4 linked regions of the Schizosaccharomyces pombe genome follow. The gene in region 1 interacts genetically with each later gene. Each region holds a gene or a part of one and is shown in the gene's direction. Other genes may lie near its edges.

Region 1 (4,636 bases):
AACCGCAGCTTGCGCGTTTTCAGCAGCAGTAATTTCCACTGAAGTACGGGTTTCCTTGTTTTCTTTGGCATCACCGGGAAGTTGTATACGGATCTCAGGGACAGAAAAATTATGACTTGAAGCCGATTTGATACGACTGGTGCGATACAATTGAGCAATATCCAGGCATTCACGTAGTCTTGAGTAAATAGAGACTAACTGATTGGATGACGATTCTTGTGTCCTTTCGTCTACTACGAGCTTTGAAGAAGTTTGACTATTTTTCGCCTTTTCCAAAGCATTGCACCAACGTAGCCAATCTTGGTGAGTATGTGCTCGTAGGTTCCACAGTTCTACGCCTGAATCAACGTTGATCTCATGCGTCTCTGCAGCAACGCTAATCACAGCAATGCTCAAGGGAATTTTACCGCGCATTACCGAAGAATTTTCGTTAGCATAGTATGAGATCGTGCCTTCCACCATGTTGAGAGTGAAGTAACGTCGAGCATAGCCTTGGCCCTTCTTTCGGCGCTTTTTAAGCAAGGTTCCAGAAATAATTTGTTTAGGAGAGCCATGGACTGATGCATTTGGTATTCTCGGACCGTTGTATGGTTGCGCGGTCAAGAGGAAGGTCACAGTTTTTGGTTTTGTTTTCGAAAAAGTGTTATCAAACACGAAGGCATAAAGTCCTCCATTCTCAATGTAGACAGAGCCCTCACTAGGCTTTTCCGACATACATCGCTCTCCTTGATAAAATAATTCTAACCCAGCAGCACTCAACTTCTTGATACCAGCTTCGTGAGTGTGTTGACGCTTTGTATGCAGGATGGAACGATCGGTGTTTTTGTTGGATCCATCTAGCAAGCTAGATGTGTCATTCTTTTTATGATATATATCAAACTTTATGCTTTTCCGTTTCACATGCAGTTGCCAACTCAGTAAGGAATTCGATTCCACCGTGAGCCATTGTATCAACAGACTCTTACTTCGTATCTCCACAGTTTCCATGTTGACTCATGGACTTCTACTGTGATAATTGCAAAACTTAGAAAGCCTATTTTTTTCAATTGATGACTGGAGAGGAATAAAATAATTGCCTAAACGTATGTGGTAAGAGATGGATTTTCGGTTTCGGGATTTTCGGGCGAATGACTCCAAGGTATTTTACCGATGCGGAACGTTCGGTTTTTTGGCGGCCACCTAATGTAATGTATACTTAAGTAGTAAACAAAGGGCTGGTAGCGGCAATAGGTATGCCAGTATGTAAACGGATACAAAGAAAATTTTGCACTTATCACTTTCCGTAGTGTGTACTTGGGATGCCTCGATCGGGCTATTTCAGATATGGCAAAATATACTTTACATTAAAAAATAGCTATACAAAAACATTCGCACGGTCTGTAATATGCGGTTTTATGTTTGTCTACTAGCATTGATGGCATCGTGCGAAATAATGCGGGTTTTTGGGATTAAACCGAAAATCAAATGTTTTCTGTAGTCAAAAAATCTAGCTGTTGTAATTTTTTATTTAATTGTCTTTGAGTATTTCTATTACTGCTTTTACTAATTTTATCATTATCACGGCTGTATTGTTGTAGCTTATTGTGCAAAAAATTTTGGCTAGAAGTTGGGACGGATCTAATGATGGAAGAGGGTAAATAGAGAGTTCCCATGTACTCATAAACTTTGAAAATTGGCATAATTTCCCATAACACAATACCAGCTCGATTTTCCATTTCATAACACAAAATTTACATACCTATGCATCTGATAACCCATAGACCGCGTACCTTAATTAAATAAAGTGCAGATTGGTTGCTCGTATCGAACGCTAGCGTTGTCTGCAATGTCGCCGTGGAGATGTTTACCAAAAGATAGCACGTTACGCCATATAATCTTATTACAAGGTTGCTTTGAATCACACTACTTTGCCTCGTGCACCTTTTTTATCGCTAACAAATTAGCATCAGATGCGCGGATCATGTTTAAGTCGGACGGTATGCAGCAACATGCACATGCTAACCACCTATATACACGAATAACGAATTTCATCCTATAAAGTCAGCTGGCTCGACTTGCTATGCAAACCCCTTCTTCTGCATCGGCAGAGTCTGAAAAGGATTCAGGAAACACCTATGTTGGGCCTTGGCTTTTGGGAAGGACTTTGGGACAAGGAAACTTGGCCAAAGTGAAATGTAAGTACATGAGGTGAAATTTAGTTGACTTTGTCTTGTAGGGGCTTGTTAATAAGATAGAGTAGACTACTTATAGACAGTAGAGATAGACTACTTAGGTGTCATGGTTATCTTGCGCATCGATCGTCTTTGATTTTGTTTTTGGCAATTGTACGATGGCTAACAGTGTAGTGGGCAAGCATTTTCAAACAAATGAAAAGGTCGCATTGAAAATGGTTTACAATGATGAATTGGAAGATAAAGATACGTGGAAGCGTTTACAAAGAGAAGTGACAATCTTAAGGCAATTGCACCATCCAAACATTATCACCCTATACCAGGTGTTTCGGGTTCCCAAGTACACAGTGCTCGCACTAGAGTATATGGATACTGATTTGCACAGTATGGTGGTTAAGCATAATCGACTGGATGAATGTACCACTCGCAAGATTTTTCGACAAATTGTCCATGCCATCGATTATTGTCATCTTCATCGTGTTGCTCACCGAGATTTGAAGTTGGAAAACATTTTACTTAATAAAGATCTGGTTGTCAAGCTCACGGATTTTGGCCTTTCCAATTTTATGCTTGATGGTTCCTTTCTGAGTACCTCTTGCGGTACTCCCCATTATGCTGCTCCTGAGGTTATTCAAGGCCGTTATTATGATGGTTGTGATGTAGATGTATGGGGTTGCGGAATCTTATTGTATTTGATGCTCGTCGGCGAGTTTCCCTTTGAGGATGTAACCATCTCCAATGTATTAAGTCGCGTTTGTAAAGGAATCTACACCATTCCTAGTTTTGTATCTTCTTCAGCCTCAGATCTCATTCGTCAAATGTTAATGGTGCTTCCTACTTCACGAATCAAAGTTGCAGAAATAATGCAACATCCTTGGTTTATCGCTGATCTTCCCACGCATTCCCGTTTACCTTCCCGTACTTCATCCTTTTCTTCCAAGCATCGATCTGTCACCTTTTCTCCTCCAGATCTTGCTATTCTTTTCGACCCTTCCATAACTTCGCCTTCCAGTAGTGTAGGTCAAATTCCTCAGCCCACAGATCACTCAGCCCTATCCCCGTCAAAACCAATGTCCATTTCAGGTACTGAATCTCCTAATCCAGATCCCGCATCTTTATGTTATTCGTCGTATGAGGACTTGTATTCGGCTACTTCGTGGCATTCTGACATGGCAGAATCATCCGGATTTTTAGATCCTACTGATATTCCACCAATTCCTTCTAACGTTGAAACTTTACGCTCTTCTCTTCCACAGAGACATGCTTCATTCATGAATAAGGTCTACAACCATCCATTATCCCGACCTCCCGCCCCCAACCGACTTCGTTCTTTACGCTGGCATTATGGGATTCAAACTGCCAAAAATCCAATTGAAGTATTGAGAAAGCTATGTGAGGCTTTACTTGAGTTAGGAGCTCGGTTTCGGCCCTGTGATGAGGAATCTTTTCTAAAGGAAAATAAGTATAAAGTGTTTTCATGCATTACATGTCATAATTCTCCTGTTTATCTGGTTATTGAATTATTCTCTATTGGACCATCTGCTAGCGTGATTGATATCCGCTTTTCTAGTAGTGATGATTCTATAAAGTACACTTCATCTTACAGTCCAATGCCATTTTTAGAAGTTGTCAAACAATTGATCCTTAAAATTGCATAAGGTCAGTCGCGTAACTCAACCTAATTCCCTTTTTTATCCTTTTTTTTTCTTTTACGATTTTTTTTGTTGTAAAGCTTTTGTTTTCAATATTGTTTGCATTTACTAATATTGTGAAACTAAGTTGAATTTTGATATTTTTGTTACGACTTTCTCATTTAGTTTCAATTAGAATTCACAGTTGTTACATTTCCCTTTTGTTTTTTGAATTTGTTAGTTATTTCACAAACAATGAAGATAAACAGTTGTAATATTACAACAGAATTATGCTAATGTAATTTACTACAATCTTTTATTTTTATTCATGAAGTTAAAGAGTGAAGTAGTGTATATGCATTAAATGTGAATGTTTGTCCATACTCACAGTAATTCCTAGTACGGAATATAAAAGCAACCAATTAATTTTTGGAAATTGTGGAAGTGCCAAGTATGCCGTATACGTATATTTATTGTTCATGTGAAATTTAAGGGATAAGATGCTTCCTTTGGAAAAATGAACGTAAATAGAGGATTTGCCATATAACAAGAACAAATAATGAGATAAAAGTAAGATATGCAAAATTCTTGACACGCTCATTAGTACTTTCATTAGTGTTTCTGAATCTAGCTTCGCGAGCTTGCAAATAGTAAATTTTTCCTTTGATTTCTTCAATGAAGTCTCTTGCACGACGGATATCAGCTTCTACAGGTTCCAAGTTGTTTGCTTTTTGCAATGAAGAATAATCATCGGCGTCAGCGCCTACAGTAAACTCAAGTTTGACGGATCGCTTTTTATGTTCAGACTCTATAGCACCTACATTTAAATGTCAG
Region 2 (3,911 bases), 1.4 Mb from region 1:
CAAATTTCAGTTTTTCTCGGCTGAAAGAATAGGGGCTGCCTTAAAGTGAATAGGCTTTTCGAAAAGTCTTGTGGATCACATGTAGCAGCACTGTAGCGCATGTAAGCAAATTCTCGCTCTGTTTGCTGTGGAAGTGTAACCAATAACTTCTTAGGAATTGGACAATCGAGGATGAGATTGCCATGAAATAATTTAACTCGTTTAATACTTTTATTTCTTTGAATTTTTTCATTTGTTCTTTGGAAATTTGCCTCTCGGTTCATAGTATTTCCTTGCTTATTGAAGTTTGAAAAATTTGGTTGAGCAGTAAAACCTTCAAATGGAGATTGAATACTTTCCGTTTCATCTTTTAAATAATAATCGAGATCAAATTCTTTATCAGGAATAATGATTTTCGGTTTTAGAGGTTTTTTATTTTTATCAAATAAAATGGACGAAGTATCACTGTTTAATGACAAATTGGTGATTGTAGGATATAAGTGATTGGTTTCAACAATATCTTTATTTGTTAATCCAGCTGATTCCTCCTCATCAGGAGGGCGTGGTAGCGTTTTTTTGAACCACCTTCTCATCTTCAAGAGCCGTAGAAACGAGCCTCAAATCGCTCTATCAAATATACGCTTAGATTTTTTCTGTAAAGCAGCATCCAAGTTTATGATAGTGAGAATCAATTTTGGGGAGACAATTACAGTTGTAATGATTGAAACAATGGTTTGTTTAACCCTGAATGCTTGTCAACAATGTTTCAATTGCCAATGATTGTAGAAGCCAACGATATGAAAATAAAATATTATAAAAGAAGGAATTGTTATACTCTTTTAATATTTAAATACAAAGAGAGTAAGAAGATTAATGTTTACAAAAGAAAAAAAAGTGATGAGGTGGTGGAAGATTGCAACAAACTAAAGTGTACTTTTTTTATGATTGAAGAATGGCATTTACTCGCTATATTGTATGACAAATCTAAATACATAAAAATAATTATTTGTTCCGTATTGTTAAAACTAAATACAACTGTAATTATAAGAAGGAATACACATACCAAAGTTTATGTTATGAACAAATTTTATCAAAAGCTTAAAAAGTAAATCATATCTCATTATTTATTCATATAAAAAAAATTAAAAAATAACAATTTATACAATGGCTTGCTAAGGTATATAACAAAGCAAACGAAAAGCCAATTTTCTTCCAACATTACTCATTTTATTTAGATATATTATTATTTTAAACGATTTTCTTTTTATTCCAAACGTAATAGAAGTAGTTGAATTGTATAAATTATTGTTTTTTATATAATAAACATTTTTTTTCGCTATAATAATTGTTTTAAATAAAACAGATATTGGGAATTTAAATTATCCAATCTTTTTTTTGTTAAATTATTTTATTTTATTTTCCTCGACATTAAAATGCATCAACAATTGGTTAGTGTTAATTGATTCTCTTACTATCAATATTATCAGATTCAAAAAGCCCAACTTATCAAGAGTTAGTGAAGGAATCAGCAATGATCAGATAGAACAACAGAACAGTAAATACAATGCAAAACTTCGAAAACCGTGTATTAAAAGATTAAGACTTACAGATTTTCTACAAGCGTACTCCTTTTAAAAAGCCTCATTTTGTCCAAAGAATTGATAATGTGGGTATTTTTCGATGCGAAATCTACGAATACAAACAACTTCGCAAATTGGAGATTACTGCATACAAAATGAAAATGTATTTTCCTCGCAAGCTATTTATTTTGAAAAATTATAAATTACCTATTTTCTAATACAATCTCTCATTTTAAATATCACCGCAAATTATTTGGTCTCCGACAACTGTTTAGCGTGTCGGTTTGTACTTCACTATTTCGTTATCCCAACCTAAATCACTGGGAGAAACCTTCGGAAAACCACTTTTCGCGATCGATTTATATTCATCGGAATAGGAGATTTATATCTCTTCCTTGTTCAAAAAGAACTCAGATTCTTTTGAACATCTTGCTTTTGCCTTTTCAGACATCGTTTCCTTACTCTACCATAAGGCAAGAAATTATACCAAATCCATTCAACTTGTCGAAAAGAAGAGTACTTTATAGTTCATATGCTTGAAAATAACGGAAGTGTGATTTTAATGGAGCCGGATCATCTACGGACGGCAGTGAACCGCTCAATGACTTCTCGTGAAGGTCGAACGAAAAATCGATTCAATCCTATTACAGGAGCCAGACTTGCTGCGGGTGTTGTTGCTTTATCTGCAGACAAAAGGAAAGTCCTATTAGTTTCTTCTGCTAAAAAACATCCTTCTTGGGTAGTTCCTAAGGGTGGATGGGAGGCTGATGAATCTGTTCAGCAAGCTGCCCTTCGTGAAGGTTGGGAAGAAGGCGGACTAGTGGGTCATATCACTAGATCCCTTGGGTCTTTCAAGGATAAGCGTCCTACTGATACTATTGACAGAAGGAAAAAATATTTGAAGCAATTAATGTCAAAAAGTAGCGGAAATGACGTCTCAACCAATACCGAGTTAGGAGCCGAAGCAGAGAAATTATTACTTCCACCTAGAGCCGAATGTGAATTTTTTGAAGTTATTGTTGAAAGATTAGAAGACAATTACCCAGAGATGAGGAAGCGTCGCCGAAAATGGATGTCTTATCAAGAAGCAAAGGAAGCGTTGACAAGTCGTAAAGATATTTTGGCAGCTCTTGAGAAGAGCTCTATCATTAAAGAGGAAAACTGAAGTACAGATGCATAATGTTTACCATTTGCAACCTTTTATTCAAATATTTTAATTTACCATTTTTTTTGATTTCTTGCTTCAATATTTATCTTTTTCCATGGGATTACGAAATTGTTATATCTATTAGTTACCATGTCAAGTGTGTTAAAAAGGCTTGAAGTTTGCAAATCTTGATTCTTATTTTTTTTTTCAGCAAGCTGGGTCAAATTGAGTTTTCGACATAAAGCTCATTTCATGAAACATATATCCTTTAAAGGATTTCAGCGGTACAGCATATATTCCAGCAGTTCAACTGCTATTTTTTCTTTCCTTTTTTAAAAGTTTTTACTCTCTTTGTATATTTTCGATTAAGATCATTGTCTGCATAACATACTAATTCTATTTATAAATATATTTTCAATTGAATCGCATGATAATTCAAATTTTTTAAAACAAAGTTTCATTCCTTAAAAAATCATCTAATCCCACCTGTTTGATGCTAGGGTGCGAGTTAATCGTTATCGTTGTGTGCTATGCATAAAAAGCACATTAGTTGCTAGCATATTAATTGTTTGCAACCAATTTTGATTAGTGACGTTAATAAAAACAAAATTGTTCCATACGGTAAAACGTATTCGTTGTTAGATACTAATGAGCCCAAGAAGTTTCGTGTGTCAATTTGAATATGTCGTGTAATTTTATATTGGCTTTCAGCAATCATATAGCTATGAATTATAGTGAATCCATTGACGCTCATTACACTTACGTGCGATAATTTTAAAAAATACTTTTCAATTAGTAGTAAATAGATAGCGAAACGACGAACTATAGCAAACATCAATCCGTTAGTATAAATATTCGTACAAAATGCTTATATAAGAATTTGAGAATTACTTAATATATTTGATTGACGTTGTTCAACGTGAAAATGTACATAAAAGCAATTTATAACCACACCTAAAAATCCAAACAAACTGCAAAATTAAAAACGTAGGATTTAGCAGTTATGTTAGTAAAGCTTCAGCTATCAGAATAAAAAATTTTTAGAAAAAGAAACAAGAAGAAAATACATATATATATTTTTATTTTCAGAACTTTGACGGTCATAGCCAATTCTTTTAAAAATGAACTAAATAGCACTGTCTCACATTCTAACAATTGTCGTTAATCCTGTTAGATCCCAGCATAAGTTTCTGGATCTAATCTGA
Region 3 (4,314 bases), 1.5 Mb from region 1:
TTTATCGTATGTTCTCAAATTACCTAGACGCTAACACTAATAAATAAATTTGAAAATATTATTGGTAAGGTGGTCACATGGAGGAACTAGTCAACGAAATAGGTATCTGCCCTTGAGCTTGCAGTAGACTAATTAAATTGAAGACGACTGTAATATTCAAGTTTTATCTTTATGTCATCAAGTAATTACCAAACAATGGGGAAACGAATGAAGTTGTTGAATTTCATTAGCATACACATGTTTTCGTCAACTCCAACGTTACTCTCCCTATCCCAACTATTTAAAGTACGGTGGGCAGAGAGCATTCTGTTAACTACAAATATCATTATGGAATCTATCATTGACGCTCATTGCCATCCAACTGATGCACCGCAAGAATTACATTTGGTTGCTAATCTTTCTGTTGGTAAATTAATAGTAATGGGAACCCGGCCGACAGATCAAAAGTATGTCGAACAACTTGCGAAAGAATACCCTGGTAAAGTAATACCTAGTTTTGGGATACATCCATGGTTTTCTTATTATTTGTACGATGATTTGGATAAAGATTTGCAAAGTAGTGAAACGAGAAAAAAGAAGCATTACGAAAAAATATTGACTCCAATACCTGATGAAGATTTTATCAATGCTCTTCCCAACCCAGTCCCGATTTCAGAATTTTTGGAGGACGCTCGTCGACATCTTAAACAGTACCCAAACGCTCTCATTGGCGAAATCGGCTTGGATAAGCCATTTCGATTGCCAGTTGGCCCATATGATGCAAGGTCCTCACTTCCTCAAGGACCTCTATCACCATTTTACGTAAAAATGGAACATCAATGTAAAGTGTTTGAAGCACAAGTGCGTCTTGCTGCAGAATTCCAACGTGCTGTTAGTGTTCACTGCGTTCAGACGTATGCTCTTTTGTATAGCAGTTTAGCTAAATTTTGGGATGGTCGCTGGATTCCTTCCAAAACGAAAATACGAAAGATGAAGAAAGAAGAGTACGAAAATTCTCTTGCTGAAGAACGAAAGCATTACCCTCCCAAAATTTGCCTTCATAGCTACTCTGGTAGCATTGAGCAAATTTCTCAGTTTTCAGCCCATAAAGTTCCGACCGAGTTTTACTACTCTTTTTCAATAGGTATAAATAGTCGTTATAAAAATTTTATTCAAACACTTAAAGGCGTTCCCGACGATAAGCTATTGGCAGAGAGTGATCATCACAGTGCTAGCCAAATCGATGAATTAGTTCGACAATCTTTGAACGTTATGTCAGAAGCTAAGTCCTGGACTTTTGAGGATACTATTACAAAAATTTCAAGTAACTCTAAAGCATTTTTGAAAGTAACTTGAACGCATGCACTACGGTTTATTGACAAATTAGAGTTACCTGCACAATCACCTTAAATAAGTGCATAAGAGATTACTGGCTATTCCCATTGGAATTGGTAACCTTTAGGTTCGTTTTTTATCTGTTTCGTTTACTAAATCCCGAAACTTGACTGAACTAGTGTGGAAATGCTTGCGTTTGCATACAACTTTATTTATAATGTCCTTTTTCATGAACTTTTTTCTTATATTGTCCACCTAATGTCTCTATCTTAAAAATTTCTAACACTTTGCTGAACATGTTTAGCAAAATTCTTTTGTTTATTTATTACTTAGGATAAAATATTTTTTAAAAAAATTTTTGTGATTCCCGTTACTAAAGTATTCTACTAAAACCATCTTGAATTTCCACTTTTTATGAAAGGAATATGCACGTACAGCAAATTCTTAGACTTTTTTGCTCTTTTAGTGATCGTAAGCCAAGCATTAACTGATGTATCTTAGCCATTCAAATTCGTAATACTAAGCTACTTTTTTTTCCAATTCTTGGTATGCCTATTTCACAAATTGAAATTTATACATCAGTTACACTTATAAATCTTTTAACATTGATTAAGAACCCAATTGAATACTACTATCTGAATTAACGACAACTCGGTCATTTCAGGCTATTCAAAAAGGAGGTTAGGGGCAGACCTAAGGAATTTGTTTCTTCTGTGTACAAAAGTGTTAGTGACCAACATAGAGGGGCAGTGATGTTGAAGCAAGCGGAATCTATGTTAAAATGGGCAATCGAAAAGGATAATTATACTACTTCTGAAAAAATTGGACTCAACGATTACCGTCACGTACATGAGTCACTGGGGATTGGATTCATCGCCTTAGAGGACATTAAGGTAAGCAATCCAAAACTGACAGTATATGAAATCTAACAATACTTGAAGGAAGATGAAAAATTAGTCAGTTTCAAGAAGGATAGTGTTTTGTGCTTGACAAATTCGGACTTGGCACAACTTCCCGAAGTTCAAAGTTTACCCAGTTGGGCTGCCCTTTTGTTAGTAATGGCAACTGAAAATGCAAGTCCTAACTCGTTTTGGAGACCTTACTTGTCGATCTTCCCAACCAAAGAAAGAATTACTTCACCCTTTTACTGGGATGAAAACAAAAAAGATGCCCTTCTGAGAGGTACCGTATTAGAATCCAATGAGGATTGTAATGAAATTACACAATTATGGATCGACAGAATTGAACCCATAATTAAGTTATACCCAAATCGGTTTTCACAAGTGAGCTATGAGGACTTCTTGCGAATGAGTGCTGTAATGCTTGCATATAGCTTCGACATTGAAAAAACGAAATCGCCAATTTCGAATGAAAATGAAAAGTCTGCTGCTGAAACTTCGATAAAGGAGGACAAAAATGGAGATGCTGCTAAGAAGAATGAAGGTTCGGCTAATCAAGATGACGAAAAATTGCATTCACAAAGTCTTGTGGGTAACAACTGTGAAGTAAATTCAGAAGACGAATTTTCTGATCTCGAATCTGAGGTCGACCCTGATGAACTTGAAAAGGCAATGTGTCCTATATCTGATATGTTTAATGGTGACGATGAACTTTGTAACGTAAGAACTTTCGAACCTCAATGAGTTATTAATTGAAGCCAAAGATGTATACTAACTATGCTTTAGATTCGTCTCTACGATATCAATGGAACACTTACGATGATTGCTACTCGGGATATCAAAAAAGGAGAGCAATTGTGGAATACTTATGGGGAATTAGATAATTCAGAGTTATTTAGGAAATATGGATTTACTAAGAAGAAAGGTACTCCACATGACTTTGTTTTGATTAAAAAAGAGCACTGGCTTCCTGAGTACATTGAAAAGCTTGGATTTGAAGAAGTAGAAGCACGTCTTGAATTATTATGTCGTGAAGAGTTACTTTACAATTTGGAGGGGTAAGTTATGATCAATTCAATGATGAGCTTTTTATACCTAACGTTTTCTAGTGATTTTACATTTTCAAAAGCGGATTTGACGTTCAAAGAAATTTGTTTGGCCTTTGTGTTGATGGAAAAAGAAAAGGAATTAATATCTGTTCCTTCGAAATCAGACATAAAACCAAAGCATTATAGAAAACTACTCAAGATTATTGAAAAGCGGATAAATATGTATCCGAAGATTTCAGATCCAAAGAATTTTGATGAGGAAAATGCAAAGACATTAATTGAAGGGGAAATTGATATACTTCAAAATCTCTCTGCGAAAGTCAAAGAAGCCCTGACAAAAAATCGACCCAAGAAAAAGCAAAAGGTTGATCACTGAAAAGGAAAGCTGTGATATTGATAATTTTTTTTGCTACGAATTAAGTTCTTTATTACGGAAAAATAAATAAGATTATAGAGGTAAAATTATGGATGTATAGAATTTTGGGGACTTGCTACTCATAAATAATAAAAATTTTTGACTTGTGTATTGTTGTAGGCAATTAAAATAAGGCAGTACGTTTTATTAATTAATTTTTAAAATATAAACTATTGACTAAAAAAAATATGTTTTAAGTATTTGAGCATTAAAAAAAAATCCAAAAAATTAATCGCCAAGGTATATATCACTTACTTTATATTAGACAACATATTTAGAGAATGAAAATTAAGGCATACTAATTTTTTTTTATACTTTTTTTTTTATTTCCTAGTAATATTATTGTTTTTTTGGTTTAGTATTTCGTTATGTGAATAGTAAACTTGACTATTCAGTAATACTATAAAAATAACAAATACTGATATTGTAAAATCTCACATTCTATTTATTATTAGTAACCCAACAGATTTGCACACATATGAAAAAGTAATTATTCAAAACACTAATTTACCAAGTTGAATCAACTTCTAATGTTTTGAAACGGATTTGCTTGAGGAATATGTGAGATTGTCAATGAATGTAAGTGTCAAATTACTCAATTGTCTATTTGGTTAAGTTAGTACTGCTATGTTTTTAC
Region 4 (4,284 bases), 580 kb from region 1:
AAGATCTGTTGCTGCTTACGCTATTATTTGTTATTATTATAAATAATAATAACATTTCTATCGATAACTTCGTTTCATATAGTTTTTAACATTTACTCCTTCCCACTTTTTTGTATAATACTCTTCAAAAATGGCCCCTCAATTCAAACGCCCTGAGCTCTTTGGCTTTGATAAGTCTCATGCTCAATCTTTTGTTCAAGGAAAATGGATTTCTTCTCCTAACAACAAAACTTTTGAGGTTGATAACCCAGCTACTGGTGAAATAATCGGTAAAGTGGCCGATGTCTCAGTAGAGGAAACAAAAAAAGCCATCAGTGCCGCTAACGAGGCCTTCAAAACTTATAAAAATTTTACTCATGTCCAACGTAGTCAGTTATTGGAACGCTGGGCAGAGCTTATTATGGAGAACAAAGACGACTTGGTCAAGATGCTTACCTTAGAAAACGGCAAGCCTTTGAGCCAAGCTGAGATGGAGGTCACCACATGTAGCGGATATCTTAAATGGTATGCTGCTGAAGCCGTTCGTACCTTTGGCGATGTAGCTCCTTCCAGCTTACAAAGTCAAAACTTTCTCATCTCCATCAAACAGCCAGTTGGTGTCAGTGCCTTGATTACTCCTTGGAACTTCCCCGCCGCCATGATTGCTCGTAAAGGTGGTGCCGCTTTGGCTGCTGGTTGTACCGCTATTTTCTTGCCTGCTTTCCGCACTCCCTACGTTTGCTTAGGTTTAGTCAGGTTGGCGCAAGAGGCCGGTTTCCCTGACGGTGTCTTAAATGTGATCACTTCTTCTGATGCATCTGCTCATGGTAAAGAACTGACTACCAACCCTATCGTTCGTAAGGTTTCCTTCACTGGTAGTACTAATGTCGGTAAAATTCTTATGGGACAAAGTGCCAGCACAATCAAGAAGGTTTCAATGGAGTTAGGAGGTAATGCCCCTTTCATTGTATTCCCTGACTTCCCCATTGATCAGGCTGTCGAATCTTTCTGCACTATCAAGTTTAACTCTTGTGGTCAAGTTTGTGTCTGCCCTAACAGAGTTTACGTTCACAAGAATGTTTACGACGAATTCGTCAGCAAGCTTACCGAAAAAGTCAAGACCATTAAAGTAGGAGATGGATTTGACTCTTCTTCTGCTGTTGGCCCTTTGATTTCTCAAGATGGATGCAAAAAGGTCAGCAAGCACATTGAAGATGCTGTTTCAAAGGGTGCCAAAATCACTGTTGGTGGAAAGGAGATTTCCTCAAGCAAAGGTTATTTTTTTGAACCAACCGTGCTCTCCGGTGTAACTCAAGACATGTTGGTTGCTAGCGAGGAAACATTCGGCCCACTCGCCTCTGTCTTCAAGTTCGACGACACCGAAGAGGTGATCGAATGGGCTAACGACAGTGATGTTGGCTTGGCCGGTTACGTCTTTACCAATAACTTGTCCACAATGATCCACGTTGCCAAAGAACTAGAGGTGGGTCTTGTAGGTGCCAATATCGAAATGGTTGACGAACCATTTATTTCCTTTGGCGGCATCAAACAGAGCGGTTTTGGCAAGGAAGCCGGTCGTTTGGGCGTTCAAGAATTTATGGTGGTTAAGGAAATCAATCTCAAGACTCTTTAAGGATTTTCGCTTTAGAAAGCTGCATATTATTGAACAAGCAATGATGTCCTCTTTTGGTTAATGACTAAAAAATCCTGATGTTATGACTGTTTTACATGTTTGCGATACAAATCGTATTTTAGTTTAATGATATCAAAAAAATTTAATACCTGAACATCGTGGGTCATCGATGAAGAATGGATTGTTGTGTCAGAAAATCTATACTTGTAGTTATTGTTCTGAGCAATCTGAAAAGTTATAAAGAATTGTAGGTTCTAAAATTGGCAATACTGGAGCTAGAAATCTATATAATAGTAAATATTTTTTAATAATAACAGGTGTAGCACGTGAAATTTTGCGTCGCCTTGTAGTTTGTTACTTCCAACTAGACACATGTATTTTTTGTTGTTTGACTTGAAATAGGGTCAGGTATTCAATTTTCCGTATGCAGTGATGAGTGCTGTTGATGAATGGGTACATAATGCCAATGAATGCATAGAAATTGTACAAGGTATGCTATGTTAAATTATAATGTTTTTACCTTGTGTTAACACCTGTCAGTAAACGAAAAGCATGAAAAAGATTGTCAATACCATCCTAGCAATACATATGCAATATTTGGAGATGCTGAGGTTATTTATGGATATAAAGATCTAAATGTCACTGTAAGATTAAATCAGCAAGTTTTAGTCATGAAATTTGATTGCAAATAGTAACAGTTATTAGATAACCTATGAATGCCCATTGATGGTCCCAAAACTGGAAATCTCATATTCAGAGCGCCTAGCACCAGATTCAGGAGTGGAACCAACTGATATTGAAGGAACATTAAACACTTATCTAAAAGATCGTTCCATTAAGGTTGAAGGAAACTCATTTGACGTTCATTCGGCAAATAGTATTCATAACTATTCCTTTAATGGAAAAACATTCAAGATTTTACAAGTATGTTCGATTACCTTTCAATTGGAGAAGTATTCAATTATTGAATATCCCTATATGTTCTTTGGCTAATAATCGTAATGTATTAATAGGCAACGGTTCTTGAAGCTAGTGAGATTATGCAGCATTTGCAAATATTTTCCTTATTTTTTATTGAAGGGGGCTCTTTTATTGACCTTAATGATCCAAGATGGATGGTATATTTACTGTAAGTTTGTTATTTTCTACGCGTCTACTTTCCTTTTACCTTTTTATCGAGGTTTTATTAACAAAAATAAGTTACGAGACTACTGAAGATGATTATTGCTTACGTGGTTATTGTACTGTATACAAATATTATAAATGGGACAAATTAATTCACGATGGTATTCGAGCTCGTATCTCACAATTCGTGATTTTACCCCCTTTTCAACATCAAGGACACGGTTCGCAATTGTACAATGCTATTGTTAGTACCTTTTTGAAAAATCCTAAAATTTTAGACTTCACAGTTGAGGATGCATCGGAAGCGTTTGATAGCCTTAGAGACCATTGCGACTATAAAAGATTATTATCAATGGGAATATTTTCAGAACCTGACTTTCATCCCTCTCTTTCTAGGCAGTGGATAAACTCGAAAATAGCTGAAACAAAGTTAACCCAGGTTCGTAATTTGCTAAATTTACCATGCAATGCAACTTACTAATTGTCTTTTTTTAGCGTCAATTCTCACGCTGTTGTGAATTAGCATTTACAACGAAACTAAAAAAGCTTTCATTATTGGAGCGGAAATCTGTTAGACTAGGAATAAAGGAAAGGATTTTTCGTCAAAATCTTGATGTGTTGCTACAGTTGGATAAGTCCGAACGTATTGAAAAAATTCATAACGCCTATGAAAATCAGTTTGATGAGTATAAACAGATTGTCAAAAAGCTACCCAAGCTTAAGGAAGATTCGCCTCGAAAACGCCAAAAACTTGCTCAATCTTCTTCCTAAATGAAAACACTTTTAGAGATCTGAAATACTTTGAGAATATTGAAGGCATATTAGCATAAAAAGTTATGAGAATCGACTAAATTACACTATTGGACGCAATTACTTTTTATATAATTTGCTTTTGAAAGCTTTCGCTTGAAATGATTAAAGACATTTGAAACAGTGATCATTTTAATAATATAAATTTTGTATATATTTTGCAAATTTAGTGTGATATCTAGTTTAATAAAATCTATAAAGGCACCTTATAAAAATTCAAACAATTCCTCATAATGAACTGCTTTTTCCAAAATTTAAATATTTTAATATCTACTATCAATAATATTGGTTATTTTCAACGACCAGTACAACTTTAGGTGCTTGTCATTCTCATCCGTCCTCCTTCCTATTCCGATCCCGACTTTGTTCATTACCTGACACCCCGGATAAAGTTAGCTCAATTAGCAAATTCTCATTCGATCTTATAAAGGAATTATTCTTTTTCAAAAATGAGTGGAAGATTTGTGAGAGCTAGTAAATATAGTACGCATGCTTTTTGAGTAAATAATTATTAACTGACGTTAGGACATATCTTTGGACAAACCTGCAAAAAAGAACTTTGCTACGACAACATAAAGGTTGGTCGATACTTTAATGGTTTGAAATTTACTAATTGTCTTCAATAGCTTAGCAATAATGCATGGGATTCTAACCTATTGAGTGTGAACCCCTTTTACCTCAGTGTTAATTGGAATGCGGGAGCTGGAGGTGCATTGGCAGTTATCCCTTTAAACGAA

What was found.
Region 2: mutations in ppk9 (region 1) and aps1 together harm fitness more than expected from each alone (negative genetic interaction), as found in Schizosaccharomyces pombe (one large-scale study listed by BioGRID).
Region 3: mutations in ppk9 (region 1) and set13 together harm fitness less than expected from each alone (positive genetic interaction), as found in Schizosaccharomyces pombe (one large-scale study listed by BioGRID).
Region 4: mutations in ppk9 (region 1) and hat1 together harm fitness more than expected from each alone (negative genetic interaction), as found in Schizosaccharomyces pombe (one large-scale study listed by BioGRID).

The regions. Positions count from the first base shown.
Region 1 is NC_003424.3:1,604,513-1,609,148, reverse strand, and holds ppk9 (serine/threonine protein kinase Ppk9), read left to right. Parts: upstream 1-1,999; 5' UTR 2,000-2,059; coding exon 2,060-2,174; intron 2,175-2,345; coding exon 2,346-3,829; 3' UTR 3,830-4,076; downstream 4,077-4,636. Other genes in the region: sterol transfer protein Osh3, read right to left, coding at 1-987; COPII-coated vesicle-associated protein Erv25, read right to left, coding at 4,291-4,619.
Region 2 is NC_003424.3:198,144-202,054, forward strand, and holds aps1 (diadenosine 5',5'''-p1,p6-hexaphosphate hydrolase Aps1), read left to right. Parts: upstream 1-1,894; 5' UTR 1,895-2,091; coding exon 2,092-2,724; 3' UTR 2,725-3,374; downstream 3,375-3,911. Other genes in the region: chs1 (chitin synthase I), read right to left, coding at 1-572; SPOM_SPAC13G6.13 (uncharacterized protein), read left to right, coding at 741-1,088.
Region 3 is NC_003424.3:3,139,397-3,143,710, forward strand, and holds set13 (ribosome L32 lysine methyltransferase Set13), read left to right. Parts: upstream 1-2,027; 5' UTR 2,028-2,066; coding exon 2,067-2,207; exon of another isoform or gene 2,208-2,255; coding exon 2,256-2,933; exon of another isoform or gene 2,934-2,999; coding exon 3,000-3,271; exon of another isoform or gene 3,272-3,322; coding exon 3,323-3,638; 3' UTR 3,639-3,787; downstream 3,788-4,314. Other genes in the region: scn3 (TatD DNase family Scn1), read left to right, coding at 328-1,335. UniProt on the Schizosaccharomyces pombe protein: S-adenosyl-L-methionine-dependent protein-lysine N-methyltransferase that monomethylates 60S ribosomal protein L42 (rpl42) at 'Lys-55'.
Region 4 is NC_003424.3:1,028,186-1,032,469, forward strand, and holds hat1 (histone acetyltransferase Hat1), read left to right. Parts: upstream 1-2,034; 5' UTR 2,035-2,044; coding exon 2,045-2,102; exon of another isoform or gene 2,103-2,152; coding exon 2,153-2,256; exon of another isoform or gene 2,257-2,317; coding exon 2,318-2,536; intron 2,537-2,625; coding exon 2,626-2,741; intron 2,742-2,812; coding exon 2,813-3,176; intron 3,177-3,232; coding exon 3,233-3,508; 3' UTR 3,509-3,756; downstream 3,757-4,284. Other genes in the region: ssd2 (succinate-semialdehyde dehydrogenase), read left to right, coding at 131-1,612; coronin Crn1, read left to right, coding at 3,997-4,030, 4,073-4,125, 4,174-4,284. UniProt on the Schizosaccharomyces pombe protein: Catalytic component of the histone acetylase B (HAT-B) complex. Acetylates 'Lys-12' of histone H4 which is required for telomeric silencing. Has intrinsic substrate specificity that modifies lysine in recognition sequence GXGKXG.